Oreochromis niloticus: one gene and its partners. The protein of the gene in region 1 interacts with the protein of each later gene in a biochemical or structural test. Links are inferred from orthologs where the notes say so. Each region holds a gene or a part of one and is shown in the gene's direction. Other genes may lie near its edges.

Region 1 (10,448 bases):
CTTGGATCCACACAGTTTAAAAAGTTTACATCTCTGAGCTTTGAAAGACACAGTGTTGGAAAGAGAAGAACGATGGCGACGTTTTGAGGGTAAAATGATGGCTGTAGGGCAAACACTGTGGACCCAGCAGCAGTTGAAAGGGAAGTGTTTAAAATGAATCTTGGCACAGTGAGAGAGAGAGCTTGTTAAGCAGGCAGGTGTGAGCCTGGTTGCTATAGTGACTGCACCCAATGGCCCCATACACACGCAGACATGCACCTCACTTTTGCTGCTTAAAATGAACAGAAAAGTCAGGCCGAAACAAATCGCTCCCAAATGAAAAGTATAGGTCGTATTGACAAAATTCTTTCACCGTGAGCGGCAGCAATGTCTAGTCTACCTAATTCTCAGTTTTCATGCCTGTGGAGTTTATTATATGGACGTGGTGACAGTGTAAAAACACCATGCTCTTCTGATTTTCAAACGAACCTTCTGAGCCATTTTAACATTAGAGTCTATGGAGGAGTTGGAGGGAGGAGGCTGTGCATTGGTGACATTTATGAAAGAACCATAACACCTAGTACAATAGTAAACACATTGGATGAAAGAGGACAGCGATGGCTACGTTTTGAGGGTAAAATCATACCTGTAGAGCAAACGCTGCGGACACAGCAGCAGTTTTAAAAAATATTTTAAGATTAATTTTTTCGCTCCTCTCACTCTGGCAGTTGAGCTGTCTCACTCTAGCCCCAACATTCCGTCCCATACACACCCATTATAAACTCTGAAACGGCTGTAAAATCATCATGAAACTTAAACTGGAACTGAAGAAAAAGTATAATAGATATTGAAAAGATAAATACAAGTTGAATAGTTGAATGTCTTGTCTTCGTTTTAAAGTTTGAATGGTGGATCTATGTCAACGTATCTGGAAGTACATACAGTTTAAAGAGGAGTAAGTTGAAGGAGAATTTGAAGGGTCTCCCCATTGAAATACATGGGAAATTTTTGCTGAAAAAAGTTGAATAATTTTAAAAATATAAATGTTATAAATGAGAAAAATACAAGCACACTTGTCCAAAAGAAGAGGAATCTAATGGTGTTTGAATGGTTTTTCTAAGTTGAACGGTTTTGAAGGAGATAGATGCACAAAAACGTACGGAATATGATATAATAATAATAATAATAATAACTAGAAAGTGCATTTTCTGAAGAAACTGCAGTGTGAATGCTTGAATCTGAATGTATGCACTGAAATGAATTAATTGCTGAATTTTAAGTTAAAAAATAATAATGTTGAATGAGCTGGAAAATGCAGAGTTTTTAACCTGAAAACAAAAGTGCAGAACTTTTGAAAGCTGATGTTCACACAGAAGAAGTTGGAAAATAGCTGAAAAGTTTTTAAATTAAAATTTCGAAAACCTAAGAAATGAGAACAGAAAATTTAGAGTCAGAAAACATCTGAATGAATATTAAAAGGTCATATTCTTTGAATCACTGAATGACTAAAGTGTAATCCCTCCACTTGGATCCACACAGTTTTAAAGGTTTACATCTCTGAGCTTTGAAAGACTTGCTGTTGGAAAGAGAACAACGATGGCTTCGTTTTGAGGGTAAAATGATGGCTGTAGAGCAAACACTGTGGACACAGCAGCAGTTGAAAGACAAGTGTTTAAGATGAATCTTGGCACAGTGAGAGACAGAGCTCGTTAGGCAGGCAGGTGTGAGCCTGGTTGCTATAGTGACTGCACCCAATGGCTCAGTACACACGCACACAGACATGCACCTCACTTTTGCTGCTTAAAATGAACAGAAAAGTCAGGCCGAAACAAATCCTTCCCAAATTAAAAGTACAGGTCCTATTGACGAAATTCTTTCACCGTGAGCGGCAGCAATGTCCAGTCTACCTAATTCTCAGTTTTCATGCCTGTGGAGTTTATTATATGGACGTGGTGACAGTGTAAAGACACCATGCTCTTCTGATTTTCAAACGAACCTTCTGAGCCATTTTAACATTAGAGTCTATGGAGGAGTTGGAGGGAGGAGGCTGTGCTTTGGTGACATTTATGAAAGAACCATAACACCTAGTACAATAGTAAACACATTGGATGAAAGAGGACAGCGATGGCTACGTTTTGAGGGTAAAATCAGACCTGTAGAGCAAACGCTGCGGACACAGCAGCAGTTTTAAAAAAGATTTTAGGATTAATTTTTTTGCTCCTCTCACTCTGGCAGTTGAGCTGTCTCACTCTAGCCCCAACATTCCGTCCCATACACACCCATTATAAACTCTGAAACGGGTGAAAAAACATCATGAAACTTAAACTGGAACTGAAGATAAAGTATAATAGATATTGAAAAGATGAATAGAAGTTGAATAGTTGAATGTCTTGGCTTCGTTTTAAAGTTTGAATGGTGGTCCTATGTCAACGTATGTGGAAGTAGATACAGTTTAAAGAGGAGTGAGTTGAAGAAGAATTTGAAGGGTCTCCCCATTGAAATACATGGGAAATTTTTGTTGAAAAAAGTTAAATAATTTTAAAAATATAAATGTTAAAAATGAGAAAAGTAGAAGCAGTCATGTCCTAAAGAAGAGGAATCTAACGGTGTTTGAATGGTTTTTCTAAGTTGAACGGTTTTGAAGGAGATACAGTACAAAAAACGTACGGAATCTATAATAAAATAGAATAAAGATTAGAAGAACAATACTGTGAATGCTTTTACAAGCATTCACACTAATAAAGATTACAACAACAATACTGTGAATGCTTTTACAAGCATTCACACTAATAAAGATTACAACAACAATACTGTGAATGCTTTTACAAGCATTCACACTAATAAAGATTACAACAACAATACTGTGAATGCTTTTACAAGCATTCACACTAATAATGACATTAATCCACTGTAAAGCTATTTGCTAGCCACCAGATTCATGACTGCAGCGGCTGGTGAACTGTTGACATGAAATTCGTGATGTTCAGTGATATGACACTGAATTTCTTAAAGCTTCTTGGCTTAAGACAACTTGTATGCACTTTCACTGTGTCACAGTTCACTTATCAATACACATGCAACATCCATTTCTTATGATACATTTTGAACTTTTGCAAATCCACAAAGTTTAACCAGCACATGGGTTGGGATGGTGAGGGGCTGCAGAGGTGTGTGCCTGACATGGCCAAATTAAGTCTATCCTCTTGTAAAGACATCATACAGAGCTGAGAGTAAAAAAAAAAAAACTACCTGAAATTGAGTTTCGAGCAGTTTGAAGTCTGACTTTTTTAGCTCATGAGGATTTTTTATAACTTATACTTAAGTTTAATATTAGTAAACATGACTGTCTACATGAAACATTTCACAAATCACAATTAAAGAAAACTGAAGAAAAATAAAAAATAAAAGGGAATTAATTTCACACAAATTTGTTTTACATTAACCTTTGACATTCAGCTAACTTTTGCCTGCTGTTAGCTCGACATTTTACACTCATTTACACTATGATCCATATCTATGCCCAATTTTGTATCACCGCTCAACCTAACATGTATGCCTATGGATTGTGGGAGGAAACCCGAGTCCTTTCACAGGGAGTACATGCAAACTCCAACACAGGAAGGCCCCACCTGGCTGGCAGATTAAATCCTATAATGCCCTTGCTGTGAAGCAACATCACCTCTAACCACCACCCCTTCACGTTTACCATACAGACATAAGAGTGGTATTAATCTTCTTATCCAAGTCCTGCCAAGCCAGTAAATACGTGTATTTCTCCCAGATGTCCTTTCAGTGGTTTAACTAGACAAGCAGGCATGGAAGGTATATTGTAAACAATTAAATCTTCAGACAAACATAAGAGAGAAAGTTCTTGCACCACAGGTGGCATGAGAGTAGCAGCAGCATCAAAGAGACAATGCTTCAAACACCATCCGTGCTTCCAGTCTATGCAATGTATTTGCACTTTCTAGTTCGCTCATTCCAGTCAGTCAACATGAGCTGGAATTTAGAGGATGGGAGTTTAACTCCAGCCCGGTCAAGGTTTTCCACTTGACTGGGCTTCCACTCAGCAGCAAACAAGTTTTCGGAGAGGATCTTGGCCAATGCACAGCTACTAGCTTGCTTTGATTTCAGCATAACAATCTACTGCCAAACAGCATTATGTCTGGAATGTGCTGATGATTCTGCCAGCTCTCACTCACCCATTTCCTCTCCCTCGTTTCTTTTAACACTCCCCCCTTTCCCACATACCCCTCCCTTCCCATCCTCTGTCTCCATACTCTTCTCCCATTTGCATTACATTCATTATCCTTGTCTCACAACTTCCTTCCTCCCTTTCTCTCAAACTCTATTTTCTGCCTCCCCTCTCCTCTTCAAACTATCTCTTCCTTCCACATTTCTTTTCAGAGTCTTCCCTCCAATCTTTTCTCATTCTCACTTTGCTAAAGAAAAAAAACTGTGCATGTCGTTATGTCCGACCAAGAAATTCAAATTCCTCTAGCATACCAGCACAGCTTAACATTCTCATTGGTTTGGATCGCCCCACTTCCTCTTGTCTTCCTCCCCAGCCCCTCTCCCACATTCTCCTTGGTGCTCTCTCTGTAGTTTCATTCCTTTTTATTTGCTTGCTCTATTCCTCAAATTAATATAAAGAAGTGGGCTTAATGAGTGTCTCCAATGCATTCACAATTGGTAGATCGTTTTTTTCCTAGCTAAATGATGAAAAAAGGGACATCCTCATAATTGACCAAATTCAGACATTTGACATCCCACTGTCTTTTATTGTCTCTTTATAAAAATGTCATACCCTCTTTATATTTCTCCAGTACTCCGTATTTTCTCTTGAGTTCTGTTTCTACAGTAACTGAGAACTGAGCAGAGATACTCTTTTGTGGTTTTTGTTTAGAGAAGAAGTGTGCATGTGATGTATATGTGTCCAAAGTAAGGTGTCATATTTAAATGCATGTGTGATACCGTAAATGTGAGAAGTTGTGTCTGCTGTGCATGCAATGATGGTGTACTTCATATATTTACAAAGAAAATGTGTTGCACGCTGCCCGGTTACAGTAGAAGGCTTACAGCCACTGTTCACAGGAGGACAGCAGGATTATTTACAAAAGTCTGCTCTTTCTCTTACTTTTCTTGCTGTCTGAGTGTCTCTCAGCCTTCTGTTTGCTCCTGCTGCAGCTTGCCTACTGGGACAACGCACTTACATAACCAATCATTCTCTGTAATCCCAGTCTGTGCAGCAGCTCCTCCCACCCCCACCTCACACTACTATTTAGCTCCCCCTCCTACCCCTCATCCCTCCTGATGGTAGGTGGCTGTGTGTGTGTGTGTGTGTGGGGGGGGTGGGGGGGCATGGTGATGGCTTTCCTTATGTCCAGATTGCTATGAAAGAAACAACATGACCTCTAAATCTTAATCCCAGCCAGTTACATGTGTCCAGCATCAATACTGACCTCAATCTCTGCTATACCTGTCCAAAGTCTCTTTTTAAAACCCGTTGTTATTTTTTTTTTTCATTAAAACTGCTGATTTAAATGTCCAATTTCTAAGGATTTATCTGTGGGACTTGTTGGTTTAAGCATATGTGCAGTTTCCTTCACTTACATTATAGCGGAGAGGCAAGAGATCAAATTCAGTACAGATACAAGATGCAGGCGAATAGTATAATGAAGTGAAACTAAGATGAGAACCTGCTAGACGAGCCTTGATTTTAAGGAGTACAAGTGTGAGCATGCGTTGATACTCGTTGTGAACGGTGAGAATATTTTCATTTTACAGTGTGAAATAGCTTTAAAAGATATGAAGTAAATTGTGTGGGATGCATTCATATATGCGTATATTTATTTTCGTATTATTGTTTTTATTATAAAATTGAACCATTTAGAGCAACCTGCAATTCGTGCAAGGCGCGCTCCCGTGGCAAACTTAACTGTGCGCGCTCTGGAGCGGCTGGTACTTAACGCCTGCCGTCTCGTCTCTGTTCCAGGAGCTGTGCCAATGTGTACATCGAGCAAACGAGAGAACGACGACAGAGAGGGATCCTGTGTCTGTCCTGGTGCCACACATTCACCTGTTTCTCCGTGGTGAACTGAAGGACAGTTCTTTCGAGGTAAGCGGGTGTGCCGCAGAGAGTGAAACATCAGATTTTCGAGTGGCGTGTGTGTCGGTGAAAACAACAGCCCCGTTGTAGCAGACGCTAGCTTCCTTCGTTAGCGCAGTGCTAATAATGCTGGCGGGTAGCTAGCCTACTGTCCGGCTTGTTTGCTGATCTTTTAAACGCCTCTTGCCTGCAGTGGTTAACGGGTTGACATGCGTAGCGACTAAACGTTGTTGTTAACGTTTACTAACTGGTGTGAGTGGGGAAAAATGGAAGGGTACCGCTTCTTAGCATGTTCACACACCAGCTAAGCTAACAAACTCACCGACTAAGCTAGCTAGTAAGCTGTGGGATACTGCTTTACGGCAAGACGAGGCCTGTGTGCCTCGTCTTGCACACAGGAAACTGTTTGCTAGGATACGCCGTTGTCTGCCTTGCAAAGACAAGGCCATTTTGCTTTCAAAGTAGGTTAGACCAGGTCAACAGAAACTCGTCGTGGCATTGTTTTGTGTAGCACTGTTGCTGGCATAACGGCTGTAGAGGAAGTGATGACTAATGTTTACTCCAAGTAAAGGTTACAGTCGGAGTCGGCGTGTTTGACTTGTCTATTATAAGACTAATGTCAGCTCCTGGTCGTTATTGATTATTAAAGGGCTCTAATCGCCGTTGTTACATGTTCACTGCAGTTTGCATTCAACGAGCAGTTGTTGAGCGGATCACGTAGTCCTTGACGTGGACACCTGTAGATGAGTTATGAATTAGGCTGGGGACAGATGCACAGTGGTATTACAATATGACCTTTCGCTGAAGTTGTATTAAAAAAGCAAACCTCCATATTGATCACAGTTGTTACCCTACTTTACAATACCTCTGCTCAGGCTGGATGGATCTAAGCCGAGGTCAATAAAATAATAAAGCCATACCACTGTTTATGTAGCACTTTGCATACAGACTCGGAGTCCATAGCTCCTCACAGAGTAAGACGAAATAAAACGAAAATAAATTTACAAATTAAATGAACCTAGACAAAGGGATGCACAAGTTGTAAAACTCTGGGATTGTATTACAAAAAAAACAATGTGGCTGTTTAATTCTTTCAGCTTTTGACAAATTAAATACTCTCTAAACACAGACCTCCAGCCTCCGAAGTGCTGGACTTGTGTGTCATGCTTGAAACAGTATTTGAGATTTTACAGTAAGATTACACGGCAGATGTCAGTCTGGTCAGGTGTAGGGTCTCATTATCTTGAGATGCAAATTATTGGAAGTACATGATCTGCCCTGCAGTCGGAAAAATATGGTCTTTTCAGCATGTTATAAACATGAGAGATGCAGGTGTTGATTGGGAGGTGGGAGTCTGTTCCATTGCCTGTTAGTATTTGGAATTGCAATACAGGTTTTAATAATTGCAAATTGTATTTAAATATCTTCTTTTAGGATGTGGTTGATTTTAGTTCACTATAATTAATCTCCCCTCTCCTTGAAAACCAGTTATTGGGCTGCATTTAGAGGTTAGGTTAGGTACAAGTTCTGCATTGTACCTTAAAAACACTTTTTTACACACTGAAATTTTGCTTATTTTGCTGCAGACCACAAAATCAGAGTGAACCTTTTTCTTTCAGAGACCTTACACACCCATATGTATGCACTCAGCTGTTTTAACTGGTTGATAAAGTTTGTCCAGCTATAACGTGTCTTTAGTCAGTCTAACTGCATTTGGGAGGGAAAAGAAATACAGCATGTACACATGTATGTACGATCAGTCTTGGTTTCTGCTGATTGCCACAGCTAAGTGTTGGTTGTATGTAATGCAGCAGTAGAGATGAACTTGTTTTGACCCAATGGTTTTCCATAGCTTTCAGAGAGGCTTAGTCACTTGGTAGTGTAGCCCCAGGGTGGTTTTTATATGTGGATGAAAGCTGACAGATGCCAAGATGAAAGGATTTATGTCACTGATAGAAAGACTCATCCTTGTGAAATCCTAAAGCTCATTAAAATGCAAGAAAATAAAAGCTTGCTTTTTCATCTTTCATTTTACAGACTGTATTTAAGAGGTTACATCTGGAATGGGTTTGTTTATTCTGACCAATGTAAAATATTGTTAAATATTTCTTTTATCAAATCTCTAATGCAGTATTTGCTCTCAGTGGAATAGCACTTGGAGTTAAAGGCAGGAAATGTCTGAACCATCTGACCACTATGCAGCAACCAGCCATTGTTAAAACGGTGACAGAAGTGGATGTGTGGCCAATCCCTCCTGCCTTGCATGCACACGCGCTTGTTAAGGAAAAAGACTACAAACTCTATGGGATTTTTTTTTTTTTTTTGTTTTTGTTTTTTGATGACCAAGGAAACAACCTGCAGCTTATTGTGTTAGCTTACCCGGCGAGGGTTCTGCTTGTTGGCTCAGAAAATTCTCAGATGCTGGTGCTTTGTTTTACTGTACTCATCATCTTAGACACGACAGTGCCAGGTTTCCACCACAATACGTTTGGTAATCAAACATGATGATGACTGTCGTTGTGTGTAACCCTCAGCTTCAGCTCGACATAAGAAGGAATTTCCTTTTTAATTCTGCCAGTTGTCTTTAGGGACAGTCTTTTGTATTTGACTTCTGAACTGAGGATAACGTAACCACGTATGTGTGCTCACGGGCAATGTTGTAGGGGCACATACTGCTTGTTCTGATGGTTAAACATATCTTCACTGTGAATTCTAGTTTCCCACAGACTTTCCTCAGGTAACCCTCCCAGGTATGTTTGCCAGCACATTCCTGCACTCAGTATACTTGAAAGGTCAATTGCTGCTGACTGCCTTACCTCAGTACTTTTACTTGCAGTGTTTCCCAAATGACATAAGTATGTGCAGACCTCATTTTGCTTTCATGCTGTTGTCAGGCTGTATTATGTTATGATGCTTCCTGTGCTTGGGAAGACTGTCCCTGGTTTCCCGTGGTGTTGTCTTTCTGGGAAACACTGGTTTGTTTCATCACTGTGCTTGAATCTTAAAAAGGTGGTGTGCATTTGATGTGCCTCTTCTCTTTCCAGCAGTAGACCCTTTTGCTGTTAGTTCTTGGCCAGTTGGTTTAATTAGCATCACATTCCACCCATTACCTTGAAAGCTTAGCTGGCTCGTCTTGTATTTGAAATTCAAAATTCATTTGGTCCATCTGAGCTGCCTGTCTACTTCTGTTGCTGCTCCTGCTGTCACCTGACTACCTGTGTGCTTGTGCATGCATGTGTGGTGTCATATGACACAAGAGACTGGAAATTTATTTAAAAAAAATATCTTTATCTTTGCCAGTCTTACAGCAAGGGTGGACCTGAGATGTATACCAAGTTGTCCTTTTGACTAATTACATGTGGAGTTTCACAATAACTGTGATTTTTATGTTGAGGTGTGTGAAGGCAACTCTGAATCTCTCTTTAGATTTTTGCATCTCTTACTGTGCCGGCACAACTTTAGCAGCCGGTGTTGAAAAAAATGACAAGAGTGACAGCTGTTCTTGTCCAACCTAATACTGGCGGTGTGTGAATGTGAGAAAGACAGCAGTGAGTCATCGGCTCACTAACAGTGAGGTAATTCTAGATCTGCTACTAATGCCAAAGGGAGTCCCTGCTTGTTTTATCTCTGTGTATATTTCTATACTAGATGCTAACACACAAGATGGGTAAGTGTGTCTGTGTGGTTGGTTTTTCCTCTGCCTTGATATCCCTGTTCTGTGTGGCTTCTCCATGGTAACAAGCTGCTAGGCTGCATTGTTCCTAAGTTGTTTTTCCTGCCATGGAAAAGGGCCAACTGTTGACTGGGTCTGGATTTTGAAATCAGTCTATTCCATTCCTGTAGCACTGTGAAATCAAACCGTAGTTGATTGGATACTACTACTACTACTACTACTACTACTACTACTACTACTACTACTACTACTACTACTAATAATAATAATAATAGTTATTGTTATTATTGTTATGAAGAAGCCGCCTGTGGCAGTCAGACTGTACACTGGCAGAAGTGAGGTGTAATAGCAATCCGATGGGTCATGTCAAATTTTTCAGCAGCCTGAATGTGTTAGCATTAAGTGAGATTATTAAGAATGCACAGTGACAGCCTGCTGTTAGTTCACCTATGCAAGAGAGCATCTTGGAACAATTGCACACACAATCAACCAAGTTATGTGAACATTGCTTAAAGGCTAAAAGGAACCATTAGCCAACTGCCTGCTTTGCGTGTTCATCAGTGCAATCATTTTTGTCTGAGGTTTTTTTTTTTTTTTTTTTTTTTTTTTTTTTTTTTCTCTGTTCACAAACTCAGTTTCAGATTGTTTTGTAGGCAGAAATGATGCTGGTGCAGTTTGCTACTCAGA
Region 2 (11,000 bases), on another chromosome or scaffold:
AAGAGCACTGGGAACAATCTGTGTGTTGTGTGAACTTGATGTTTCTGCATTTCTGTAAATGCTAACTTTAACTCATCATTGTCCTTTTCTTGCTTTCTTATTTTTCTGAATCTTCGAAAAATTAAAGGAAAAGATTTGGACACATCTGGTCAAAAAATCCAATAAAGGTCACATTTCTGCACATTATTCGTCTCCACCTTTATTAATTCAATTCTTGTTCAATTCTTCAAGATTCATTATTACCATTGTCAGAACAATTAATAATATTTGTTTGATATATTATCTACAATTTTATTTTCGCATTTTCTAAAGGACTTTTAAACAGTTATCAAAGCCTCTCAGCGCGGCTAATGTAAATCGACTCGGCTTGTCCAGCTCCACTCTTTCTCAGTTACATAGATACATAGCTTTGATTGTTCAAATTGCAGTTGTTGGACCTCAAAATGGTCCAAAGGAAAAGAAAAACAGCAACAACACGTCCCCCCTTCTTCAATTTCAATTTCTATGTTTCTACATGAGAAACACTGAATTAAAGCCTCTGACTATTTTGTCTCCAGCTTTGAGCAGTTTCTCTCACTCAGTCCCTTTTGCCTAAAACTCAAAGGCAAACTCTGTTCAAACCCTGACCTAGCCCAGTCATCCTAGGATTTTCCCCCCTTATTTAACTTATTATTTTGTTTATTGATAACATTATTATTATGGTAATTTCGCTGTGCTTTTCATTTTAATCATGTTGTTTATGTGGGTTTTGTCTTTTGTTCTTGTGTTTTTGGGGGGACTTGGGATCTTAATACGTTTACCTACTTTACTACCTAATGTACGTTTACTGGAAAACACTTTTTGTAAACTCTTGTTTATAAATAAAAAACGTTTGACATTATTTTCAATGCCATGAAATCTTTTAGATATTATTTCAAATTCTTTTGAAAATGTGTATTATTCTTGCCTTGCACCTTAGTGAATGTTATGACTTTAAGCAGCGTTGCTCCAACTGCCAGTTTAACATGAGTTGCGACCAAGGCCAACTTTGATAAAGCACAGAGGACTGAGACGAGGCAATGGTGGAGGTCTGGTCTTTTTTACTACGAACACTCTTCAATCACATACAATACCACAGTGCCACCTGCGGGTGGGAGGTAGTAATAACTGCTGCTTATTACAATATACCACATCCCTCCTTTCCGAGATAAAGATACAACCTCTTAACTCCAATATCTTGTAACATGAATGTACCCTTTAAACCGTAGGAACATTATCAATATTATATTCATGGAACATTAGGTCAAGCACACCTTAAATTGCCTATCATTTGAACAATGCAACTACATGCCAGTGCAAAGTTTTGAAACAGACGAACACGTGACAAATTGGATGAGACATGTCAGAATGAACATATGAAACATGACATATTTCGCTCTAATCCAACAGGACAGTTATCTGACATGTACAAAACAACTCAGGTACAGGGTAGAGCGACTTCCAGTTTCCAAATCACTTAGTCTCTATACCTGGCAGGGCGTATTATTGCTCGGCCACTGCGTGTGTAGCATGTGGGTGTATTGTCCATACTTGCAGGACGAGGGTGTTGTGGGGTGTCACTTGCTGGTGGCGCAACTGGCTCTTGGGTGTGAACAGACAGATCATCTGGGTCCATGGATGTGTCCTTAAACAGACTTGGGTGTATTTTCCTCAGATGTCTCCTGTTCCGCCTGAGCACCTCACCCTCTGGTGTTTGCACAGCGTAGGAGCGTGGTTCCTCTCGCCGATGTGCTACAACAGCTGGCTCCCAACCGCGCCGTGTTTGCATGTGCACAGTATCGCCTGAGGTCAAAACAGGCAATGGTCTTGCATGCTGATCAAAGTGGTATTTCCGCTTTGACTGCAGTCCACGCACCTTATCTGGAATGTTCTGTGGGGTTGACTGTCTCAACACAGCACTGGCGCATGGCAGTGTGCTGCGGAGAACCCGTCCCATCAACATTTGTGCAGGTGACACACTCAGTCCTGTGACTGGAGTGTTCCTCAGAGATAACAGCACTAGATGTGGATCTGTTCCAGTTCGCGCCGCTTTTTTAAGTGCATGTTTAACAGTCTTTATGGCTCGCTCCGCCATTCCATTTGAAGAAGGAAAGCCGGGACTGGAGAAAGTTAGCTTTATCTCCCAGGATGCTGCAAACGATCTCATCTCGTAGCTGGCAAATGGAACATGATCGCTCACTATCTCTTTGGGAATTCCGTGTCTTGCGAAGACTGATTTCATCTTCTGAATCACAGAGTGTGCCGTTTTGTCAGGTAAGTTAAGAACTTCTGGGTATTTGGATAAATAATCAACTAACAAAAGATATGGCTGACCGTTCAGTTCGAAGATGTCCGCTCCGATTTTCATCCATGGCAGCTCTGGAATCTGATGTGGAATAAGCGGCTCAGCCTGGTTCTGTGGCTGCATTTGCTGGCATTGTTCACACTTCTCAAGCATAGTCTCTATGTCGTGCGACATGCCCGGCCAGTACAGTACTCTTCTTGCTCTGGCTTTTGTGCGCTGTACACCTTGGTGAGCGAAATGCAACTTCTCCAGGATCACTTGTCTGAAGCTTTGGGGTATTACAATCTTGTCCCCTATCATAATAATGTCATCGTGGATACTGATGTTGTTTCTCATAGGCCAGTAGCTGTGGAGTGTTCTGTCTAAACTCTTCCTTCTGGCTGGCCATCCGTTGAGGTGCCTTTCACGCACAGCTTGTAGCACGCTATCTGCTGCAACTGCCGTTCTCAGGCTGCTCAGTGTTTTTTCACTCAACGCTGCTGTGGCCTCCAGAGCATACACAACTCTTTCTTCATTTGTGTCTTCACTCACATTCTCGTTGTCACTAGTGGTTGTGGCTCGTGAAAGTGCATCGGCTATGAACATGTCTTTGCCGGGGGTGTATGTGACGGTGAGATCATATCTCTGCAATTGCAGCAGCATTCCTTGTAACCTTGCTGGTGCCTTGCATAGCGGCTTACGCATTATCGCCTCCAGGGGTTTATGATCAGACTGCACGGTTACTGGTCTTCCATAGACATACTGGTGGAATCGTTTAGCGGCAAACACAATGGCTAGCAGCTCCTTTTCTATTTGTGCATACCTTTTTTCTGTGTCTGTGAGTGCTCGTGACGCATAGCACACAGGTTGCCCTTCTTGTAATAGGCATGCGCCCAGCCCATCTTTTGAAGAATCGGCCTGCAATGTTAAGGGTTTCTTGTGGTCATAAAATCTCAACACTGGTGCTTGTGTGAGCGTCGCCTTGAGCATCTGTAGCGCTGCTGTGTGGTGCGGCTGCCAGTGCCACGCTGTGTCCTTTTTGAGTAGCTGTCTTAAAGGTGCTGTGAGTGATGCTTCATTTTGAATGTACTGTGCCAAAAACTTCGTCATTCCCAGCAGACGCTGAAGACTTTGTTTGTCTTCCGGAGTCGGCATGTCAACAATAGCTTTGATCTTTGAAGCATCTGCTTTCTGCCCAGCTGCTGTGATGATATGGCCCATGTATTTCACCGTGTCGACTTTGAACTGAATTTTGTCCTTGTTAAACTTCACGTTAGCTGTTCTTGCTTTCTCCATGACCTTCTGCAGGATCTCATCGTGTTCGTGCTCTGATGTAGCTGCAATGATCATATCATCTGCAATGATAAATACACCAGGAATGCTGCCGAAAGTCTCGCAATTCTTTTGTTGAAAAACCTCGCTGGCGGATTTGATCCCGAATGGGAGCCGGAGGAAGCGATACCGGCCCCAAGGTGTATTAAAGGTACACAGCTTCGATGACGGCTCGTCCAGCTTGATCTGCCAGTATCCGTCTTTTTCATCCAATATGGTGAAGATGGATTTTCCTGCTAGCTTGCTTCGAACGTCCTCGTGTGTGGGAATGGAGTAGTGCTGGCGTTTAACTGCTTGGTTCAGATCACAAGGGTCCAAACACACCCTTAGTGTTCCGTTCTTCTTCTGTGTGGCGACAAGACTGTTGACCCAATCTGTGGGCTCATTGACAGGCGTTATGACATCTCTGTTCTGTAAGTCCTGTAGCGTCTGCTTCAGCGGGTCCATTATGGAGAGGGGCACGTTCCTGCATGCATGAATCACAGGTGTTGCGTTTGCGTCAGTGTGTATGTGATGGACTCCAGGGAACTCACCCAAGCCTGTGAACACATCAGCATACATCTCCACAAGCTCTTCCTTGGTAGAAGGTGGTTTGGCTGGTTTCGGTACAGCGGATGGTAAGGCAAGGGCTTCAACTCGCTTCACCAGATGCAGCTCCTCACAAGCTCGCCCACCTAGGATCGGTTTATCTGCATGGTCCGACACAAGAAAATCAAACACAGCCCTGTGCTTCCTTGCTTCACACTCAAGAGACACCACACCATCTACATGTATGCGGGCCCCACCAAAAGCTATGAGTGCCGTCTTCGTGGGCTGTAACCGAGGCATCCCTGGTAACTTGTTGTAAACTGATCTGGGGAGCACATTTGCGTCCGCGCCTGTGTCTAGCTTGAAGGTGACTGATGCGTCCCCGATTGTTACACTTTCGTGCCACCTTCCAGTTTGGTGCTTGTCACTGCACACCATACCTATGTACAGTGAGTCCCCATCAGTCTCAATGTTATTAATAGTCTTTGTTTTCTTGTAATTTCTACTTTTCTCTGCGCCCACTCTGCATACTTTTGAAAAATGGTTATTTTTCCCACACCTGTGGCATGTTGCCCCATAAGCTGGACACTGTCGGGGCGCGTGTTTGTTGCCGCATTTGTAACAAGCCGTTTGCTTGTCGTTGCTCGGTTTGTTTTTACTGTGTCCTGATTTAATGTATCCTGGCGTTTTCCTTAATGCATGTACTGACGTGTCTTGGGGTGCAGTTGTTGACTGCATAGCCTGAATCTGTGACTTGGCCACCTCTGCTGATCTGCATATTTCTATCGTCTTGCGCAGTGTGAGGTCGTTGTCACGAAGTAGTCTCTCTTTTAGTCTGGTATCATTTATGCTGAACACCAACTTGTCCCTGATCATGTCATCTTCATTGACCCCAAACTCGCAACTTTTACTTTTCTGACGGAGTTCTGTGACATATCTGTCCACTGTTACACCTGCTGACATTGGGTATGACCAGAATGTATGGCGCTCAAAAACAACGTTCTTTTGTGGACTACAGTATTCCTTAAACGCTTTCAGAATGTCCTCCATAGCTAGCGCGTCTCCGGCCGGGGTTACAGTGAGTGTGTTATACACTTCAAGTGCCTCCTCGCCGATAGTGTGGAGAAGAATGGCTGTTTTAACCTTTTCATCTTTCTCCAGCGCACCCGTAGCAGTCATATACAGTCTGAATCTTTGTTCCCACCTGCGCCAGGTCTCAGATAAATTGCCGGTGAGCAGTAGCGGCGATGGTGGCTTGAATTGCTCCATGCCGTTAGCACCGTCCACCGTTAGCTAATCCACAGCTAGCTTACTCACGTCGCGGTCGGTCCCTGCTCACACGGTCCTGCCAACTTCTGACACCATGTTATGACTTTAAGCAGCGTTGCTCCAACTGCCAGTTTAACATGAGTTGCGACCAAGGCCAACTTTGATAAAGCACAGAGGACTGAGACGAGGCAATGGTGGAGGTCTGGTCTTTTTTACTACGAACACTCTTCAATCACATACAATACCACAGTGCCACCTGCGGGTGGGAGGTAGTAATAACTGCTGCTTATTACAATATACCACAGTGAATAAGCTACCCCGCTGCACAACAGTACGAGTAAAAGAAAACACAAACACGATTTATTTATTTATTTATTTATTTTTGCTTTATTTAGCCTGAAAATCCAAAAGAAAGTGAAGTTTTTCTTTTCTCCACACTACGTGGTCCTGGGAAATTTCCTCAGAGTGAGCGCTCATCCTGTTTCCGGCGCTTTGTGCTGCCCATATGTCAAAGTCTTTGTGCTTTTCAAGACAGAGAGGCGACAGAAGGGAAAAAAACAGCTGGATCCAACGACCATCCAGCTAGCGTTACCACTAGCAGCAACCAGCTCCTCAAGCCTGCTAACCCCCCTCGGCTGCCTGACTTCCAAAAGGTACCGTGTCTGAAAACTGTCCGTTAACCGAGAGCTAACGGCTCCTTATTCCGACCGCCTTATCTTTTACCTGAGCTTTCTCTTTGACCCAATTTTCCAACTGCCAGCCTGGCTAGCCTGTTAGCTTCCACATTAGCTTCTTTAGATGCTGATTAGCTAGCTAGCTTAGCTGATTAGCCTCCTGCTGCTTGAGCAGGTATCAGAGGATTAAACAAGCTGTCAGCAAGAATCATAGGAGCACACTCGCCTCCCATCCTTTGTTGTCATCTATAAAGCAGAAAGCATAGGGCTCTGTTGGCGTCTTTAAGTCTGCTTCATACTAACTGTCCTTTTAAATACATTTTACTTTTATCTGCTTTTAAAGTGTTACCATACTACATGTACTTTTTTCATTTAAAGTATGCAAGTAGTGCTTTCTGATTGGATTAATTGTTGTCTAGTGCGAAGTATTCCTTTTGGGTATAGAAGAAAATGAAGCAGGAATCACATAAACACTGATCTCAGATGTTAATTTGACTTTTGTCTCATTTTTGTCTTTGCAACATAAATTCTATAATGATACTCAACAAAACAAAAACCTCACGGTAGTGATGTTTCGCTAATTACATGCACATCTTGAGTTAATCTGTATTTCAAATGAATCTTTCTCGATATTTGCATATTTTAAAGCTTTTGTGTTTAATTGCAACCAGCTGATTTCATTGATCTGATTACGTATTTAATGCTGTTTCTGTACAACGTGAAATACAGCTGCTGAGCAGAAGTCTTGGTTTGTTACACTTAAAGTGTGAAGACAATCTTCTTTTCTGAGGTGTTGAAATCTGCAGATTTTTGATAGATTTACTCAGTTTTTACTGGAAAAAATAGCTGTTATCTATCAGACTGCTTCCAGCTAATATTAAGGCCAGAATAGGTAAAGTAACCACCTGTCAAATCAAACATACGAGGCTACTTGTCGTGGAAACCTCTTGTGAATAAGTGAGCACTTGAAAGTAGCATTTATTTCTCTGGTGCAAACACTGGTTGAGGAGCTGAATGGCTCCTGTAACCAGAAAGTCCCACAGCAGTCCCAGCGGAGCACTGGTTAAACACCAAAGTGTTCCTAGCTTGACGAAATGTGCGTTTTGAGGGTGAGCTGGTACGGAGAGATAACTCCCTTTACTGTAGGAGGTTTTCTGAGAGGCATCCTGGTCACATGTCCAAACCATTTCAACTGGCTCCTTCCACAGACTCTAGGTCAGACTCTAAATGGCTTGTTTAAGCAGCTTGTTTGAGTGAGAGAAGATGAACTGGATGCCCTGATAAAGATAAATAATGAACCATGAATGATGCCCAGTCCAAGAATAAAAATAGGGTGCTGATATTAGCTGTTCCTCCTTAATTGGGTAATCTATCATCTATTTTTTATTTTCTACTGCTCATCGTCTCCCCAGGTAGCATCCATTTAGTCAGCTGTGTCATGGGACTTATTGTTATATGCTGTGGCTATCATTGCACTTTCTTTTGTCAGTGTGGGTTTTCGACTGCATGGACTTACTTTGGATATTATGATTGTAATCCAGGTTTTGAATGTCGTTCTGTATGCTGTCATTTAAATTTAACTTGGTGAGCTCTGAAGAAACTCCGTGTCTCGATTCTGTCTGATTTACAGCTTTATCTTGCAACCTGTGTTTGGCAGGGCTCAGCTGACAGCGGCGCTTGAACCCAACAACCTCACGATGAGTTCAGGGTTTTAGAGGTGCTGTGTGCATTCCCCGCTCCCAGTGGTCGTTAGATCACTGCTTCCATTTCTATTTTTACACTAGTTCAACAAACAAGTCAGAACATGTAAATAAGGGAGACTTTGAGATGATGGAAGGTGGATTTTAGTTTCACTGATTTCCATGGGAAATGCGAAGTAGCATGCAGTAAATTTCTAATTACACTTTGAGGAAAGAATAATCTCCCATCCTTGTTTCTTGTCTTTCGTCCAAAACAACGCTTCATCTCTGATTATTTTTGTGTCTTGCTGCCTGGAAGGATTTGGACTCGTCAGCTGTTCACATAAACAGAGTGAGCAGACGTTGTCCTCCTTCCTTTTCTTTTCTTTAAAAGTTCTATGTTATTTTTGATGTCGGGTTTCGAAGCCTAAACTGTTGTTATCAAGGATATGCAGGCTCGACTCTTTCTCAAAGCTGCAATCAGAGGTTTTTTTATTTTGACCCGTTGACTCCCACGCAGTCTGAAAACAGCTCCAGTCTTACACGGACGCACCACAGTGTGTTGCTTTCTGAACATCTTGGACTTCCATGACTGGACGTTTGTTCTTCTCAAAACATAAAGAAATCTCTAAGCGTAGTCTTAATGTGTGGCCAAAGAAACAGACACATTTCTATTATTGCCTTGAAAATGACCATATGAATTTTAAATTACTTCTTGCTATATTTTTCTCTGAAAGCAATGTACAAGGAAAAAAATGTTAGTAATCAAAGATGAGAAAGTTCGGTGGTAGAGTAGGGGTTAAAGCTTCTTTAAGGCGAGGCATGGCACAGCGGCACACAGTAACTTATTATATATGTGAGAAAATTGACGATTTTTCAGTTTGGTTCTAAATGTAGATAGTTGTAAATGATCTCACATCAACAGGCACCATGATCCCGAAAGAAAGAGCCAAAGAAATGAACTGTTCCCTCAGAACATCTGGATCTTATTGTAGGTACACCACCTGATGACGTGAGAGGTCTCACAGTCTGACTCCACTGTAGCCATGGTGTTATTTTAGGTTCTTGTGATCCTCTCATGACTAATTCTTCCATCACTGATTAAGCTGCAGATTTCTTGCAAATAATGGGGATAACGGGCAATCAGTTTTTTTAATTTTCATTTTTTATTTCTAATTTGTGTGTGTAGATATTTTTTAACATCAGCACAAATTTAGTCTACAAAGAAATTTTGCCGCTTTTTTTGACAGCCACCTTTGTAACAATTTGGGAGTTATTGTAGCTGTTGTTTTGAAGCCTCTTTCTAAATGTGCATACATTTCATTGGTCTTGTGTGTATAAAATTCCACCTATAGCCAAATAAGACCGTTAAATAAACAAACACAAAAAATGTTGACTTAGTTTGAGAATGAGGTAAAGAAAAATAACTACCCGTCCCAGTTGCAAGTTATAAAGCACTGATCAAATGGCACGCTGCTTCAGATGAGAAGGATGATGGTAGAAATCTGCTGTGCTGCTTTAAATCATATTTGTCCAGTTCCAGTTTATTTATGTAAACTTGGAGGGTTTTTTTCCTGTCATACAAAAGATGGAGTCATGAGTTCTATAGGGTTTCATGTGGTGCAGAGAGCAATGCAGTTATACATGGTTACATTTCTATTACTATACAGATAATAACTGATTTTCTTTAACTATTAAGTCAGGGAGAAAATCCATTACTGAAGCTACAGGCATGTCTTGTAATTTTTGACTTCAAAACTCGAACAAAACTGAGGTCACTGTATTTGGCCCTAAAAAATTCCAAAATACTGTCTAACCTGATACTCTGGGTGGCATTATTGCGTCCTCCTGTTGTAATGTGAGTCATTTTTGACCAGCATATGTTCTTTAACTTGCATACTGAAATCACATATAGGACTGTCATCTTTCATCTGTGCAATACTGCTAAGTATTACCAGCTCCCAGCTTGGGTTTAAAAAAAAATGTATTTTTTACTTTAAAATTATGCTTAAAACTTTACTTTTTAAGAAAATCTATATAAGGTTCAGGTGAACATGAACCATGGGATATAAAGGGGAATTTGGTGACTGCTGTTGTCAGTTGATGCTGTATAAATACATTTGCATTGAACTCAATAATGAGCCAAGGAACATTTCAAGAAGTGTATTTACCTCCATCTTTACAATAACGACTGAGAGAGATACACCCACTCCCACGCAGCTGAAACTGAACCTCAACAGTATACGTGTGCCGCACAACGTGGCAACATTGACTTGCTATTGCTGTTTGGGTATTTGTGTGAAGGAGTGGGCCACTGGGTGTTCAGTGAAATCTCCTTCTTATACTGTATAATGTGTCTGTCTTTTGATGTCTCATCTTTTCTTCAGCACATCTTACTTTCAATTCTAAGAAGTATATTTTTCACTTTTTGGCAGTTTTTGGTAGTTATTTTGTAAGTGGGAAATAGGGCTGTGCGATATGACCAAAATCTCATATCCCGATATTAAGACATCTATCGTCCGATAACGATATAAATCACAAAAATGTAACATTTTCTGTAAAATATGTGAATCTCGGGCAGCTCGACTTGCGGGAAGTGTTTCCAGCTGCGCGTCATGTAGCTGGAGTCGAGTGTTTTAACCGATGCATGAAACTATACATTTTTAGACATAAGTGGTAACGGCCGCCGTTTTCTTTGTGAGTATTTATTACACAGCGTGCTGCGGGGAAAAGCCTGTTCTAACGTTTGAGTCTAAGGTTTATTTTTTAGCACCTGGCGGCTCTTGTTTTGCTTCTCATCTGTAAATAATCTGCTCTTTCACGTGATTGAGTTTATTTTGAAAAGTCTCAACAGGATCTTGAGCTTTATTGGGAAGGGTTTATGTGGAACATAAACAAGCGGACACGCGATGGTGTTACCGTCGTTGTTGCTAACCACAATGTTGTCGTGCGCTTGTCCGTCCGTAGTGTGGTTATAATAATTATAAGAGAGAGAGAGAAATTAAGAAATTAATATAGCCACTACAGTGACCATCAAAACGATAAAAAAATATTGCCGTAAACAGTTTATTTTGCGACACCACGAAACAAACGATAGCGTAAAATGAAACGATAGACGTTTTTATATCGTCATCCGATATATATCGTTATATCGAACAGCCCTAGTGGGAAACATAGAATTAAAATGGCCTCAAGTGTTATTATAAAAATATGCTA
Region 3 (10,301 bases), on another chromosome or scaffold:
ATTTCAGCTCCTTATTGTATCACATTGAGATTTTTTCCCTCTGTGAAATGTTGTGATTGCTAATAATTGGTAATAATCATCAGATATTATTTTGCAGTATGTTTTTGCATTCATGTTACACAACATTTTTGGGAACAGGCTTATTAACTAAGTCTTTAAAGTGTAATGACAGAGCAGAGATAGCATCAGTGATGAGAAACAGCCCACGGGCTGAACTGACAAATGAGACAAAGACAAATAAGTGTTCATGAACAGGTGGCTTGGATTTTCTCTGTTTTGCTCACTCTTTTCATCTTTCATGTTTCAGTCATACCCCCCACCCCCCCCCACCCCACCCCCACCCCCACCCCCACCCCACACACACACACACACACACACACACACACACACACCTTTGGTTTCACACAGTCTTTGAGGACAGTTGGTCGTGCCATCCACATCAGTGTCCACAAAGCCACACTATCCCCTCTGTCATCCTCAAACCTCTTTGCATCAGCTGTTGGCATTAAACTACACTTTGCATCATACACTGCACACATACAGGATCCAGCAACACAAATAATGAGAAGAATGGACTTGTTGGACCTGCCATGAGACATGTGTAGTTTCAGAAAGTGAGTTTGAACATTTTCTCTGTGTTTTCGGTCTTTGTATTATTATTTATTTCATTTGTATGAATTTTAGTTGGAGTTTGGAGTTTAGTTAAGAATGGAAAATTCTAGACATTTTCACTTCCAGGAAAAAACAGTAAGTAGGATGTAAATGTGTTGTTTACATCTGTGGAAATAGCATCGTGGTGCTGAAATGCACGACTTCCAGTTTTCTTTCTTATTGGCGCTGATTGTGAGTAGAAACAGAAAAGTAAGACAGGATTAGATAAAACTGCATAAATAGACACTTCTTAGTTTGAACTATCACAGACAAAGCAGATGGCACTGACTACTATTAAAATAAAAACAGTTTTTTTTGCAGTGTGTTGCTATTCAGTGAACTGTGAAGTACATGCAGGTGTTTCCCATTTGTGCTGCTAGATAGACTAACTCAGACCGGTTTCAGGGTCATGCATAGCACTGTATTTAGCCTCCAGATTTTTGCAGCTGACTGCACACCGTTTTGCAGCAACACAATAGTGTAGTGTAATCCAATACTTTCTTTTTGTACTTTTTCTTTGTATTCTACTTCAATTCAGAAGCAAATACTGTAGTTTTTAGCCTTTAGTTGCATTAGATGGTGAATTAATAAATTTTGGCTGGGTAAATATTTCTTTGTTATGTATGCATACAAACGTGTGTTTTTTTCTAATGAAATATTTTGACCCTTGTTTGGTAAACTTTAAAATAAAATATCCACATTAACAGATGTTTCCTGCTGTGGAATGAGCATTTGACAGTGACTACACAGGATATATCCATGTAAAAACACAAGAAAAAACTATATAGATATAGAAAAAAGCATGCCTTACAATTAAAATGATTTCTGATGAAGAGATTTTTAAAAAGAAAATTGCTTTGTGTCAGGCTCAAAGCTTTTTGTTGGGCAAAAGTATGAAAATAACCAAGGAACAAGTATATACCCCAATATACTTCCTGTTCTGAGTTCTCAAAAACACGAAGCCAGTCAGAGATTTTGATGCTTTACAAAGAAAAGCATGTTGAAATCTATATAATCTATATAATATGTGTGGCCTTTGGAGGTGACAAAATATATGTAATATTTACAACAGAATATAAATGTAATACAAATAAATGTTTATTCTGAGTGTGTACCCTGATTCAGTTTTAAATGCTTGCACTGTAACCAGTGACTAAACTCCAAAAGAGGAAGTTAACCACAATGAAATGACTGTGAACACCATAACTGCCTGCTGCATGTCGACTGTGCTCTGAACACAGTCTGAGCTCACAGAGGTTTTCTTTTCTGTTTTCTACATTTAACTCACACCTGCCTGGAACAGGTATCCATGCACTATGTATGGAAATGAAGTAAACAATCCATTTACTTTAACATGTGAAGCGCAGTTCATGTCCAACAAATACACTTCACTGTCACTCTGTTCTACTTTAGCAGCATTATCATAATGCTTTTTCACAGGGAAGCTGAACAATTTCATCCTGCTCACTAAATAAATAAAGAAATCAAATTCCCGCTGTCGTGATTGTTTGTGTGTATGATTTCAAGGTCACTTTGAGACAGCCAAATGACAATCTTGGCAAAATGCTGCAGTTTACAGGGAAACGAGAGCCTGAAGGTGTTTGTTTTTGAGCAGCGATGCTGTTTTCCAGGGAAAGCAAATATCGACTGGCTGGGAGGGGCGAGTGTGGCAGCAGGAGGTAGGGTGTTAGCTTTGCATTTAGCATTGGGTCTTTTGATGGTAAAGACTCATATTGTAGCACATCCAGTTCTGGCATAAAAAGTTAACATTTCAAACTGTAACATGTCATGTTTTATTGTATTTGTCTAATTTTACTTCCTGTTTCACCATGACTGTATCAAATACATAAATAAGAGTAATACAGTAATAATGTCATTTTGTGTCATTTGCTTTCAGTCTTCATCTCATTATCTTGTTGTTAACAAAATATGACTCTGCTAATTATTTTTAATATTCTCAGTGTAATGTCTGTGAGGGTTCTCAGTCATCCAGGTCATCCTAGTCTAAGGAGCTTGGAAAGAAAAGCGTCTGGAATTCTTTACTTAAAGAAGTCCAGACTAACCATTGCTAACCATTAAAAGTTTTGTATTTTGCTGAAGTGAAATTCGGGAACTGTGGGTTTATAGGTTAAAACTAAGGGTCAAGCTAGGCCTAACCCTAAAACAGTACCTGAGTCAAAACTGTAAACTAGATTTAAAAGATGGCCACCATGAAATCACTAATCCTTTCCCTCATTTAGAAGCCTCAGTATCAGGTAATGCAAGCAGGGTTTGTTAGCAGCTACATTTATGGGTGCAGGCACAAATAATTAGCTCTTAGTCTCATAGGATACCAGAATTTTACTCATCAAACTTTGCTTGTTAAGTGATGTAGCCTGCCTTTAAATGTATTAGGTTTTTTTTTTTTAACTTCTGTGACCTCACAATTTCAAACCTCAGGAATCACACTAGGGTTAGAACTGAGTCTAGAGTTATGACCTTTTCTATTAATCTTGCCTATTAATCCTCAGTTTTGGTCATTAGAACTGAACCTTTGATACTTTATGAGGCATTTCCAATATTTAAGCTCTTCATGATATCAATAACCTGATGATGATCTTATTTTTTTGCTTGCCCCTAACCCCACCTCTGCAAGCTTCTCTGCAGCCATCTCATCGGCTGCACGTTCTCTGATCAAATAGGCTGCCATATAAAAAAAGCAGCGTGGGCTAACACTGATTACTGTAACTTTAAAATTGTTATAAGAGAAGAAGAATGTGATCACATACACGATGAGCAGCACGTGCACGTGGTTTACTATGTGTAGTCAAGGGGAAAATCCATTGCAGTTCATTCCAGCATATGTTGCTCAGGACAATAAACATTACTTTCTACTCAGAGTAAATAAATTAAGCATTATCATTATCAAGTCAAACTTTGCTGTAATCCCAGTAGGTCAGCTGATCTCAGTGCCAGTCATACTCTTTCCCACCAAATGCAAAATTCCTTGTAGGGCATCTTATTAAATCTGCTTTAGCCTGCCCACAGCTGCCACATCTGCAAGCTACTTTGCAACCCAAATCCACTTGTGCTGTGTCTGACTAACTCAAGGTGTTCCACCTTAAATGTGGCTACAGAACATTTTTATTCCTTATCTTCCTGTCGAACACACTGAGGCATATTGAGAAACAAAAATAAGAGAGCTACCCTCAAAGTATACAGCCAGGATCCATTTAGAGTGAATGTCTTTTGAATCACATATAATGTGACACGAACAGATAAGAGTACGCTGCTGTTGTACAATGATGAAAAAAACAGAGAAAAAAAGGTCGTCTCTGGCCCGTCAAGCAGGCAAGTCCTCTTGTTCACTGCAGACACCTTGGTGTGATTTCTAACCAGCTCATTAATGTTTGCTTGCCTCATTTGTTCTGGCCACGGTTTTTAAAACCAGTTGTCTCTTATCCAAGTCTTCTGTTTACACTGGAGGCTGGACTAACTCTCAGTCCTCATGCCCAAACAGGTCAGCACTGGCAAATCTATTTATTTGATGTTTCATGGCAGCCAGACAGATCCGGCTACATTGGCTCCGCTGCACTGGTGAACCTAGAAATACAGGATTTACTTTCACTGTGATGACATTCGTGAACAATTCCTGATCAAATCTTCCCATGTTTCAAGAAATTCTATCCCTTTGACCTTAACCTGTATGTTTTGGAAAGAAAAAAAAAGGACTGCTTTGGAAAAAAAATTACTTGGGATGTAAATCAGTTTGACTGTGTTTACTTTGGAGTCAGGAGTTATTCTAATACTATCTTATGGTTAATTTAACCTCACATGCTCAAGGGGGTGAGATAAAGTCACTGGGGGCTAAAAACTGGGAATATGGGAAACAACTGCAAAAAGTTTGTCAAAGGTTTCACAAATTGTATCCAAGTTGTGAGAAAAGAGAAATGTGATTTTCTCACACAGCTAGAAATGCTGAAGAAAGACAGTCTAGAATAGGATGCCATTCTCTATGACATACGGTATTCTATAACTCAATACAAATTATAGAGCAACTCCTTCATGTAGTACATGTAGAGACTGTCACATAAATAGCACCTGTAGTAGAAGTGACATTATGTGTTCAGATTCATACATTCTTGTACACAGTCATGTTGGCGCATTCACAGTGCCTCTATGTGCAACTGTATAACCGCCTCAACCATATGAATAAGTAGCACTGTGCTTCATATGGCTACATTTGGAACAATTTTCATTAGCAAGCAAAGAAGGTTGAAGTTCACTCTTTGTGTCATCGTTGGGGATCCATCCATCCATGCATCCAACCATCCATCCATGCATCCAACCATCCATCCATGCATCCAACCATCCATCCATCCAACCATCCATCCATCCATGCATCCATCCATCCATCCATGCATCCAACCATCCATCCATCCAACCATCCATCCATCCATGCATCCATGCATCCATCCATCCATCCATCCATCCATCCATCCATGCATCCATCCATCCATGCATCCATCCATCCATCCATCCATCCAACCGTCCGTCCGTCCGTCCATCCATCCATCCATCCATGCATCCATCCATCCATCCATCCATCCATCCATGCATCCATCCATCCATCCATCCATCTGTCCATCCATCCGTCCGTCCGTCCGTCCGTCCGTCCATCCATCCATCCATCCATCCATCCAACCGTCCGTCCGTCCATCCATCCATCCATCCATGCATCCATCCATCCATCCGTCCGTCCGTCCGTCCGTCCGTCCATCCATCCATGCATCCATGCATCCATCCATCCATCCATCCATCCATCCATCCAACCATTCAATTCAATTCAATTCAATTCAATTCAATTCAATTTTATTTATACAGCGCCAAATCACAACAAGTCACTTCAAGATGCTTTACATTGTAAGGTAGACCCTACAATAATACATCCATCCATCCATGAGTTGATCTCAAAGCTCCCATTGTACGCTGAAAAAGTCATTCATCGCTGGGTTTTCTAATTAAAGTTTTCTGAATGTGTAATGACAGCTTCTGTGAGTGACAGCCAGAATAACATCTTCAGATTAACCAAAATTAGGTCTGCTTGTTGAGAGAAGACTAACAGGGAAAGAAGTCTGTTGCACTACTTTCATTGAGAGTATTTTAATTAGTTATGGGTTATTTAAATGTTGTTTATGCGCTTGCTCTCTCATCTTCAGTTCTTTTTGACCTGGGCCTGTGTGTTTCTGTCTTTCAGATGTAATAGCTGTAGCAGGTATGATTCAACTAAAACATTACCAACTGTGAAACAGATGCAGTTGTGGTTAGCGAAGCTATGACATCCCAGGGGATTGCTAGCCTGCTTCTAGCTGTTATAAAGCACGTCAGTTGACGCGCCACTTTGATTTTCTTCAGTTTAACTATCTGATATTAACCAGATAGGCAGCATGCACTGGGAGAAATGTAAGTACACTATATTGTTGCTGTTTCCTCAGTATATACTGACTTCATATATGAATGAATAATTATGTTAAGGGGCAACAACTTGAGAGGTTTGCAGAATTAAATGTGCTTCATCAAAGTTATGGATGAGAAAAGTTTTAAAAAGCAGTCTGTGAAGTGTACATTACAGTTATTTTTACTAATGACAGGAGGATATAATCCCAGGAGCTCTGAATGATATTTTTTTCCTTACACTGAAAATACGACGTGTCTTTTTGAATAGTTTTAATTCATTTGTAGACATTTTTTTTAAAAAGCAACTTCCTTTGTCATTTTTGTAAATTATCCAGTATAGTGTTACTAAATGGTTTTCATGTCTGTCACATTTGTAGTTAATCTTTAATAAAATTCATTTTTAGCTTACAAATGATCAAAGCGCGTCAACTCAACATTGTCCATTCGCTGCTAATTCGTTATTGTCTAGTTGAAGTAAAGTCTTCCTTTTCTATTCAGAATTGTTTTTTATTTTGAATAGTGCAAACAGAAGGAAAGATCTTTTCCTGTTGTGAACTTTGTCAGAAGCAGCTCTTTCGGAAAGCGGAAGATTGCCTTTTGAACGCTGGCTGAGTGTTGCCATTGGTGTGTAATCTTGATATGCAAAATGGCAGCAGGCACCCAGCACAGTAAAACATCGCACAGCTGTGCAGCTTCCTCTTTTGTGTTGATTGAGTCTGTGTGCCTGTGCCATGGTGATTGTTTGTCCGTGTGCACTCATGTGTGATTGTCTACAACAGATAGTAGTAAAAGACAACATCATCCACTCAACCGTGCTTCAGTTGACAGATACAGCCATTAATTTGAACTTGTAACATTTATTTCCTTCTGTTGGCACTGAGCATTTTGTGTGTTGGCTTCACATTTTCACACATGTAGATACATATGTTCCATAATTTAATTTTCTGTGTTACCAGTTAATCTTTGTAGAAAACTCTTCCATTTGAATAATGACTTATATGTAACGAAAGGTAGAAAAGAACTCCCATGTTAGCGACCACACCTCACTCTTGTTCATACAGCTCCTCTGTTTCTCTTGGCTGTGTTACAATGTCAGTCACCAACCTCCCACAACAACAGATCTGTTTCTCATTTCTTCCCTCGCTTTGGTACAACATTCTGCAGTTGCTCAATCCATGATCTGCAGATCAGGCCAAGAACTGAGAACAAGCCATTAACCCTTGTTCAGCGCAGAAAAGGGAAAGTCATGCAGTCTTTATCCAACTATTAAAAGTTTCACGTCACAAAATTGTGTGAAAAACATACATTTTAAACTTGTTGACACAAGGAACAAACTGCACAACCCAGTGCAGGACTGTCCACTGGGGAATGCCTCTGGCAATAAATCAGCTGAGGGGAATTCCCCCATTCCCAAATGATACAGTTGGTCTGGGCCAAACCGCATCAGTCTTTACTTGGATGGATTCATCTGTGAGAGTCCATATGAGGGCATAACAAGGCTAGTAATACATGTTCAATCCAATTGTATACCAAGAAAATACAATAACTAACGGTCACATAATTTTCAGTAAGTGTCACTTAAAGCAATGATGATGTTACTTTGTGTTACTGACATCCTTCTCTCGCAGAGTTTGATCAGCAAAGTGACTCAGAGTGAAATCTAGAGTTTCTGTCTAAAATGTAAATTTCAGTTGAAAAAAGCTAATTAAACAGCACATTATACACTTAGGATGTGTATAATGTGCTGTTTAATGAGCTTTTTTAACATAAAAATATCAAAGCGGAGGTTGTAACTGTGAACTCAAACAGACACATTTTACAGTTTTTCTTGATTGAGTTGACCACTGCATCACAGCAAACTCAGGCCTGAACAGCGGCGCTCGTGGTCAGAGTGACACATTCTGCTTCAATCACATCTGTGAAAAATGTTTTTCAAAAGGCTGTGTGGAATGTGTCACTCCAATAAGGAAAGGTTAACACATTTCCGGGAGGTGTCCTCTGCTCTGCTGAGATAGTCGTGATGAAAACTGAGTGATTTCTTTAAGCAGGTCAAGAAAAACTGTAACATGGAGAGGGGGATATTTTAATGCTCCGTGCAGATAAATCACAGGTACATTTGTCTGGTACAGCTTTTTAACAGCACCAAGTATGAAGAATGGCTAAGAAACTAAGCTAGAAAAGATGTGCAGCAGCTTCGAGTCAGCATAGATATGGAAATGTACAAAGAGAGTGATGAATAAAGACAATGAGAGAGGCAGACAGAGGACAATTAGTTAATTATCAAATTCAAAGAATTGATAAAGAGGAAGTGAGCACAGCTGTGAGGAGGATGAAAAGTGGAAAGTTCCAGATAAAGATCGGACCTTTATTTGAGGTCCAACTTTGAGAGTGTTGATGACACGAGACGTGAGAGTGGTGGAAAGGGACCTGGAGAGGTGGAAATATGCTCTGGAAAGAAGAGGAATGACAGCCAGCACAAGCGAGACAGAATACATGTGTGTGAATGACAGGGGAGCAGTAGATAGTGAAGATGGATGAGTCTAAATACCTGGGTTCAGCCATCTAAAGTAATGGCAAGTGCACAAAAGAGGTGAAGAAGAGCGAGCGGGGAGGATGGAGTGGGTGGAGATGAGTGTCAGGGCTGATTTGTGACTGTGGAATAGCAGCAAGAATGAAAAGGAAGGTTTACAACATGGCAGCAAGACCTGCTGTGATGTATGGTTTGGAAACCGTGGCACGGACAGAAAGACAGGGGAGCTGAAGATTTTGTAAGATTGTCACCGGGAGTGAGCAGGATGGACAGGATTACAGTTCAGAATATCAGAGGGACGGCTCAGGTTAAACACTTTGGAGGTTCATGGATGTAGTGAAGGGGGACACGGAGAGGGTTGGTGTGACAGAAAAGGAAGCTAGGGACACCACTGTGAAGACCCCTTAAAGGAAACTGGTGTAAACGGAAGAAAACAACCAAGTATGAAGTAGATGATGGAAATGTGCTGGTGTAGGGCTGCTTTGCTGCTGGGGGACGGAGCACCTTTTGATCACTGATTTAATTAGAAAAGTGGTTGCAGGTGATATTATACCATCTATTTAAAAACTAGAGTTTAACTAGAAATTCACCTTTTAACATTGAATTGTTTAGCACATTAGCAATTTCACCAGCGAATAGTACGTAAAGCAGAATTGCAGGGTTACCAAAGTGACTTCTATACCTAACAAACTCTGATTTATATTCTACTGACTTGTTCTTGGGTAATTTTTGCAAGAAACACTAAAGCATCTTGGCACAGAATGAATTTTACGTAAAAGACTTTTTCAAGCTGATTAGTGAGAGACTAGTGGACAGTTGCAACACTTTCATGGTACATCTGCCAAAGAAGGCGCCAAATCACAACAACAGTCGCCTCAAGGCGCTTTATATTGTACAGTAGATCGCACAATAATACATACAGAGAAAAACCCAACAATCATATGACCCCCTATGAGTAACCACTTGGCGACAGTGGGAAGGAAAAACTCCCTTTTAACAGGAAGAAACCTCCGGCAGAACCAGGCTCAGGGAGGGGCGGGGCCATCTGCTGTGATTGGTTGGGGTGAGAGAAGGTAGACAGGATAAAGACATGCTGTGGAAGAGAGACAGAGATTAATAACAATGATTAAATATACAGTGTACAAACACCCAGTGCGTCGACAGCAGTAATCCAGTAATACACAAATGGGACTGTACATCACAGTTACTTTAATTATACAACTTCTTTGTACTCAAGTAAAACCACTGTGTTTAGACCCAAGTGCACAAACTGTTAAATAAATCTGCCATCATTACTGTAAAATGCACACGCACACACACACACACAATGAAGAGGGGCTGGGCTCAGTGCAGTGGCCATTTGTGCCCCCGGTGCCTTCTATTGTTAAGCATCACAGACGTGTCTGTACATGGCAGACTGTCACAGTGTTCTGTTTGTTCTGAGAAGAAAATGTGGCCGGTCTGACCTATGGAGGTAAATCCATCAGCTTCAGAGAGGAAGCTGCGTAGCATACTGTCAGGATACCTTCAGCCTCGTGACAGGGGTTAAGTAGAGGACAGACATGTCTGGACCAGAGGTCTCCGTCCTCTGTCAGTATGAGTGGTAGGAATCAAAACTCCGGCTCAAGGTTAAAGAAATGTGACGGTAACTGTAGGGAAATTCTGACAAGAGAAAAAGGTTTCC

What was found.
Region 2: the proteins of siah1 (region 1) and sncaip form a complex in vitro, tested with the Homo sapiens proteins (2 studies listed by BioGRID, with this or other methods). The link is inferred for Oreochromis niloticus from reciprocal best matches to the Homo sapiens genes SIAH1 and SNCAIP.
Region 3: the proteins of siah1 (region 1) and pou2af1 form a complex in vitro, tested with the Homo sapiens proteins (2 studies listed by BioGRID). The link is inferred for Oreochromis niloticus from reciprocal best matches to the Homo sapiens genes SIAH1 and POU2AF1.

The regions. Positions count from the first base shown.
Region 1 is NC_031972.2:63,380,798-63,391,245, forward strand, and holds the start of siah1 (E3 ubiquitin-protein ligase Siah1), read left to right. Parts: upstream 1-5,919; 5' UTR 5,920-6,097; intron 6,098-10,448. UniProt on the Homo sapiens protein: E3 ubiquitin-protein ligase that mediates ubiquitination and subsequent proteasomal degradation of target proteins.
Region 2 is NC_031977.2:31,798,668-31,809,667, forward strand, and holds the start of sncaip (synphilin-1), read left to right. Parts: upstream 1-5,893; 5' UTR 5,894-6,084; intron 6,085-11,000. UniProt on the Homo sapiens protein: Isoform 2 inhibits the ubiquitin ligase activity of SIAH1 and inhibits proteasomal degradation of target proteins. Isoform 2 inhibits autoubiquitination and proteasomal degradation of SIAH1, and thereby increases cellular levels of SIAH.
Region 3 is NC_031979.2:750,496-760,796, reverse strand, and holds the start of pou2af1 (POU domain class 2-associating factor 1), read left to right. Parts: upstream 1-5,935; 5' UTR 5,936-6,077; coding exon 6,078-6,093; intron 6,094-10,301. UniProt on the Homo sapiens protein: Transcriptional coactivator that specifically associates with either POU2F1/OCT1 or POU2F2/OCT2. It boosts the POU2F1/OCT1 mediated promoter activity and to a lesser extent, that of POU2F2/OCT2. It recognizes the POU domains of POU2F1/OCT1 and POU2F2/OCT2.